2 linked regions of the Saccharomyces cerevisiae S288C genome follow. Changing the gene in region 1 together with any one later gene gives a genetic interaction. Each region holds a gene or a part of one and is shown on either strand. Other genes may lie near its edges. The genes, in order: YOR387C and ZNG1.

Evidence for each region.
Region 2: mutations in YOR387C (region 1) and ZNG1 together harm fitness more than expected from each alone (negative genetic interaction), as found in Saccharomyces cerevisiae (one large-scale study listed by BioGRID).

The regions. Positions count from the first base shown.
Region 1 is NC_001147.6:1,068,922-1,072,163, reverse strand, and holds YOR387C (uncharacterized protein), read left to right. Parts: upstream 1-1,922; coding exon 1,923-2,543; downstream 2,544-3,242. Other genes in the region: FDH1 (formate dehydrogenase (NAD+)), read left to right, coding at 1-371.
Region 2 is NC_001146.8:676,362-680,268, forward strand, and holds ZNG1 (GTP-dependent zinc transferase), read right to left. Parts: upstream 2,128-3,907; coding exon 838-2,127; downstream 1-837. Other genes in the region: peptidylprolyl isomerase family protein CPR8, read left to right, coding at 1-742; ALG12 (dolichyl-P-Man:Man(7)GlcNAc(2)-PP-dolichol alpha-1,6-mannosyltransferase), read left to right, coding at 2,438-3,907. UniProt on the Saccharomyces cerevisiae protein: Zinc chaperone that directly transfers zinc cofactor to target metalloproteins, thereby activating them.

The sequences.
Region 1 (3,242 bases):
ATAAAAAGCTTATTTCCCACATGAAAGATGGTGCATACTTGGTGAATACCGCTAGAGGTGCTATTTGTGTCGCAGAAGATGTTGCCGAGGCAGTCAAGTCTGGTAAATTGGCTGGCTATGGTGGTGATGTCTGGGATAAGCAACCAGCACCAAAAGACCATCCCTGGAGGACTATGGACAATAAGGACCACGTGGGAAACGCAATGACTGTTCATATCAGTGGCACATCTCTGGATGCTCAAAAGAGGTACGCTCAGGGAGTAAAGAACATCCTAAATAGTTACTTTTCCAAAAAGTTTGATTACCGTCCACAGGATATTATTGTGCAGAATGGTTCTTATGCCACCAGAGCTTATGGACAGAAGAAATAAGAGTGATTATGAGTATTTGTGAGCAGAAGTTTTCCGGTCTCCTTTTGTTCTTGTTTTGGCGTATTCTCCACTATTCGTCCATAGCACATTTATACCTTAGCTAAATATTTTGTAAAGCAAAATTTTCGTTATCTCTTAAAAAATAGAAGAGCGGTTTATTAATATCAAATAATTGAAACTGCTGATATGGTAGCTATATACAAAATCTGCTGTCAAAATTTGGCAGTAAACGATCTTCACGGTAGCGGTTCAAATAAAGAGGAAAAGTCTTTCTCCCTTACTGTTTTTCTGGAATTTGGCTCGTCGTTAATAACAGAACTAAAGATACAGTAAAAGGAGAGATCGCAATCAACTTCATTAATTGTAACAGTAGCATAATCACAACTGATCATCTACACTATAAACAGTTTTTATTTCTAATTATGGGCGCCTGGCCGGCTCAAACATTGTGCTTTTAAGACTCCAAAAGTATCTGCTGCAGAAAAGAGCCATATAATGTTAAGTGTTCAGGGATAGGTTATCGCTTACTACTTCAAACGTTTCGAAGGAAAGCCAGGGAAGCCTATATCTGATTCCCTGTTTCATAATCCAATGCAGCCACTAGCTTATAATTATTTGAACTATTTGTCGAACATCACAGTAATAAAATCCCCAGAAAGTTCCACTTGCTGCATATTGGCACCTGTTGATTCACTCTCCATCACTTTTTTGTTAGCCGCCCAGCCTAGAAAGTCTTTAAATACATCTGAAATTTTTTTTTTTTTAACAGTGCACCCGTGCATCATACCTCATGCAAGGTACCTTTTTTTCTCAAAGGTATTGTCTTCCATTGAAGTGGCACTATGGCATGATGAACCCTGAGCATTTCTGAATTCAACAGAACCAAATTGTCCAGAAATAAATCTGTCCGACATGAATTATGAAACTTTTTTTCAATTAAGTGAAGAGAATTTTGCAGCGTCTTACCATTATTTTGACCCATTGGTCGCATGTTTGCGCTTTGACTTCGAGAACCATGTTAAAGCTTACTTGTACGACAACCAATGAAGTATATTACGGCAGTTTTTTTGGACTGGGTCAAAAAAAGTGTTGCATAATCAAATCAGGAACACATTAAAATGTTGTAAAATTTGTCTTAGTATCACCTGAGTGGTTATTCATTACGTACTACTGTCAAAATATTCGGATCTTTCCTAAACGGGCTTTTGAATTAGTGTTGCTTCTATTCCTGGAATGGAAGGTAATACTTTCATGCATTCTCGCTTTTCGGACTTTTAACAATAAATTAAAAACAATGATACTTTCATCAACTACCTATACACCCTGCGGGTCAATTATTTTTTTTTCGAATAACCGCTGAGGTTGGAAATATAGAAACATATTCCAGATCTGTATTTTCAGTTGCTAGAAAAAGGTTAATATAATCATTAAGGTTTTCAGCATATAACAGGTATAATTGATATATAAGCATCGTAATTTTCATTCAAAATGGAGAGCTACTGCTTCTGATAGATTGTACAATCTCAAGAAATCAAGAACAACAACCATACCATGAGTTTCCTAAACATTTTTACTTTTTTCAGCGTCCTTGTGTCTGTTGCAACAGCCGTCAGATTTGATTTGACTAACGTCACTTGTAATAACCTACATGGACCTCACTGTGGTACCTACGTTATGGAAGTCGTTGGCCAAAATGGTACATTTTTGGGTCAATCTACGTTTGCTGGTGCCGACGTTTTAACTGAAAGCGCTGGTGACGCTTGGGCAAGATATTTGGGCCAGGAAACAAGATTCCTCCCAAAGTTGACTACTATTGCTAGCAATGATACGAAGAACTTTTCTCCACTAATCTTCACCACCAATATCTACACTTGTAACCCTCAATCCATTGGTGATGCTATGGTTCCTTTTGCTAACACTGTTACTGGTGAAATTGAATACAACTCTTGGGCAGACACCGCTGATAATGCTTCCTTCATAACCGGTTTAGCTAACCAATTGTTTAACTCTACTCAGTATGGCGTTCAAGTTGCTTCCTGTTACCCAAACTTTGCTTCTGTTATTTTGAGCACCCCAACTGTGAACATTTTCGCTGCGAATGAGACATTACCAGATTATTGTACCGCCATCCAGTTGAAGGCCGTTTGTCCACCAGACGCTGGTTTTGCTTGATTTTTTCCAGCTGCATAATCTGTAGACATATTTTAAGTATATTTTTTAGGCAGTTTTATAAATTAACAGACTATAATTATTTTAGAGAAAAAGACCCAGATTTATACTTCTGACTTTTCTTTTTTATGTTGATCTTATTGTCACTGTCATTGGATCATAATAATGATTCTTTTTTGAACTTCTCTTGAAAGTATCCTCTTATTCTCTTTTGATGATAGGTCCAAATGCACGTGTACTTAGAGATTAGAGCGCAGATGGTTTTCTTGTCAACATCATATCAATTGTTTGCCGAACCAAAATACAACGTTGACTTGATCGTTCCTAGGTCCATCAGCTACTGCACATTCTTACGAGTTATTCATCCGTGAAATATAGCTACATTTTCGAGCATATCTTGAAGTGGTCCATTCTCAACATCACCCTTTCAATTACGCGTGTTTTAAAATACCCAACGTCGTCAGAATCCGACTGATCATCATGGTAAGACTATTGCTCCAAGCAATCTAACCAAGGCATTCTCTTTTCCCTTTTAATTAGTTCACAGTCACTGGCAAACAATCTTCTCTAATCAAAAAAAGAAATTTATTCTATATTGTCTTCTCCGTATTTTGCCCTCTTCACTCCTTTTGCCGTGCCTCGCATAATCTAGTTATTGTGTTTAATATTGTTTTTCTTCTTGAAAACTTGTGTAATAATTTA
Region 2 (3,907 bases), on another chromosome or scaffold:
GGAAGAAGCCGGCCGTCTCATAACAATAGACTTATACGGGACTATGGTGCCCAAGACAGTAATGACTTTTTGCCAGTATGTTGATAGTGTAAAAGATCGCCTTGCTTCCCGTCACAGTTACTCGCCAGAACGCGATTTTGATAAAATTCTACCGAATGGAGCTATAGAAGGTAGCTCCGTTTCTTCCTCCTCTATTGAAGAAACGGAAATGTTGGCTCCAAAACTCCCGGAAGAAAATCATAGTTTAATTCATGATAGGCCAGGCAGAGTTTCCATGATTAAGGACGATAAGGGTCTTAAGTTTATAATTGAGACCAGTGAGACGCCACTTGAAGGTGAAAGTGTTGTGTTTGGCCAAGTTACCGCCGGGTTAAAAGATCTGATGGATAAACTAGCTAATGTGAAAACTGACGAAAATGGCAAACCAGAGCAACCAATAACAATAGGTTACATTTCATCCCAGGAACACAGGATTCAGCATGCAAAGGAAGCTCACGAAAAGTATTTACAAAGGCTTCAAGATTACCAAAACGGCGATTTGGAGAAAGGTATTACATTGAAGAATTATTTATACCAGGGTAGTCAAAGAAAGTTAGAAGACGCAAAATATAATCAGCTTCACCATCCTTTACCAAAGATTATGCTTGGTATTTCGGTATTGTTACTTTTCTACGTTTTGGCCAAGTACAGGAAAAGAATATTCAACAGATCGTCTAAAATAGTTTCTATTAGAGAGGATTAAAATGTTTCGATCCATCCGCTTAATATTCATTCATTTTGTATCACATACATACGTATAAATATACATAACTTACCTCGTCTTTATTATGCCAACCATCATTCCAGGGTTTTACGTAACAGTTCCTCTATGGATTCCTTTTCTAGGTACTTCCCAATCAGCACAATTTTACACTCTTTATTGGATCCGTCATATTTGCCTGGAAAGACATCGTAGGTGTCGCGGACGCCTTGGATTACACGAGCAATGGGGTTCTCTCCTTCAATAAGTATCAGACCTTTAGTTCTTTGTACTTCCCAATCACGGCCGTCATCTCGGCGACGCCCTCCCAGCACTGTCATGGCTCCAAAATTCTTCCACAATAAAGGTTGCAAAAATTGCTTAATAAACTTATTATTATATTCTTCCTCGTTTTTTAATGGTCTGAAAGTAAGCATTATTGTGCCCATTCGATCATCATGAATGGTACCGTTTCCGCTACCACTATCTAAGATGTCAGATATCCGTACACTGTCGTATGCATGAATATCTAGTAAATTTTGAATCGGCGTATCACTATACTTGGTGAAGAACATCGGTGCGATAGAATTTATTTCCCGTACTCTTTCTTTTAATTGTTTGACCATTTCTGGTGAATGTTCGATAGTATCGTATTTGTTCATTATAATTCGATCAGCCATGGCTAGTTGGAAGTGTGCAATAGTCAGATTCCCCTCCAAACCAACTTTGTCACCATGCCAATGGGCATCGATGGAAATATCATCTAAGCATTTTAGTATATGCTCACAATCCAAAACCGTGATGATCCCGTCAATGTAAACGCTGCTATTCAATCCTTCGTCCTGCCAGAACATTTTCGCAATGGGGGCGGGATCTGCAATACCGGAGGTCTCTAAAAGGATATAATCGATTTTACCAGGTGAACGCTCCACCATATCTTCGATGGCTTTAACACCTATATTTTTCAACGAACAACACAGACACCCGTTACCCAAATCCAACCATTCTTGGTAGCTGTTCGATCCATTTTTAATGGTCATAGCCTTTTCGATTTCACTAGAATCTCCAAATTCATTTAAAATTACGGCAATTTTTTTATCTGCACCTTTTAATGCAATTTTTTCCAGCAACGTCGATTTACCTGATCCTAGATAGCCGGTAATAATGCTCACAGGAATACGCTTTTTCTCGTGCACATCTGTTGCGCCTGCAGAAGTGTTCTCCACTTGCTTGTTTACCCTTTCAACTTTTGCATCGCTAACAATATTTCCACCATCATACGAGACATTTTCCAAAATTTCTTGTAGATTATTTTCTTCACCTGTTACGAGGCAGGGTAGTTCACCATCTTCTTCTTCATTGAACTTGATGTTTCTCAATGCAGACATTCTTCCGCTTTAAAAGTTGAAAATTCCTCAATGAAAAGGGTGTTCTTGGCTTTACAAGCGCATTAAACATTTAATATTATATAATATTTATAATATACATGTTATTCCAATAGTGAAAAAAAAAAAAAAATGAAAATGAAAATGAAAAATTCGGCCCTTAAAAATGAACAACCTTTTACCAGCCGGCATTAAATGTCGTGGCACTTCACAGTTTATAACGCAAGGAATTTACTAATAGCAAGTGAAACCATTAACGATTAGTGTTGTTAAAAGAGTTGAATAAAGCCATTAAACAACGATTCAGTTGACAATGCGTTGGTCTGTCCTTGATACAGTGCTATTGACCGTGATTTCCTTTCATCTAATCCAAGCTCCATTCACCAAGGTGGAAGAGAGTTTTAATATTCAAGCCATTCATGATATTTTAACCTACAGCGTATTTGATATCTCCCAATATGACCACTTGAAATTTCCTGGAGTAGTCCCTAGAACATTCGTTGGTGCTGTGATTATTGCAATGCTTTCGAGACCTTATCTTTACTTGAGTTCTTTGATCCAAACTTCCAGGCCTACGTCTATAGATGTTCAATTGGTCGTTAGGGGGATTGTTGGCCTCACCAATGGGCTTTCTTTTATCTATTTAAAGAATTGTTTGCAAGATATGTTTGATGAAATCACTGAAAAGAAAAAGGAAGAAAATGAAGACAAGGATATATACATTTACGATAGCGCTGGTACATGGTTTCTTTTATTTTTAATTGGCAGTTTCCACCTCATGTTCTACAGCACTAGGACTCTGCCTAATTTTGTCATGACTCTGCCTCTAACCAACGTCGCATTGGGGTGGGTTTTATTGGGTCGTTATAATGCAGCTATATTCCTATCTGCGCTCGTGGCAATTGTATTTAGACTGGAAGTGTCAGCTCTCAGTGCTGGTATTGCTCTATTTAGCGTCATCTTCAAGAAGATTTCTTTATTCGATGCTATCAAATTCGGTATCTTTGGCTTGGGACTTGGTTCCGCCATCAGTATCACCGTTGATTCATATTTCTGGCAAGAATGGTGTCTACCTGAGGTAGATGGTTTCTTGTTCAACGTGGTTGCGGGTTACGCTTCCAAGTGGGGTGTGGAGCCAGTTACTGCTTATTTCACGCATTACTTGAGAATGATGTTTATGCCACCAACTGTTTTACTATTGAATTACTTCGGCTATAAATTAGCACCTGCAAAATTAAAAATTGTCTCACTAGCATCTCTTTTCCACATTATCGTCTTATCCTTTCAACCTCACAAAGAATGGAGATTCATCATCTACGCTGTTCCATCTATCATGTTGCTAGGTGCCACAGGAGCAGCACATCTATGGGAGAATATGAAAGTAAAAAAGATTACCAATGTTTTATGTTTGGCTATATTGCCCTTATCTATAATGACCTCCTTTTTCATTTCAATGGCGTTCTTGTATATATCAAGAATGAATTATCCAGGCGGCGAGGCTTTAACTTCTTTTAATGACATGATTGTGGAAAAAAATATTACAAACGCTACAGTTCATATCAGCATACCTCCTTGCATGACAGGTGTCACTTTATTTGGTGAATTGAACTACGGTGTGTACGGCATCAATTACGATAAGACTGAAAATACGACTTTACTGCAGGAAATGTGGCCCTCCTTTGATTTCTTGATCACCCACGAGCCAACCGCCTCTCAATTGCCATTCGAGAATAAGACTACCAACCATTGGGAGCTAGTTAACACAACAAAGATGTTTACTGGA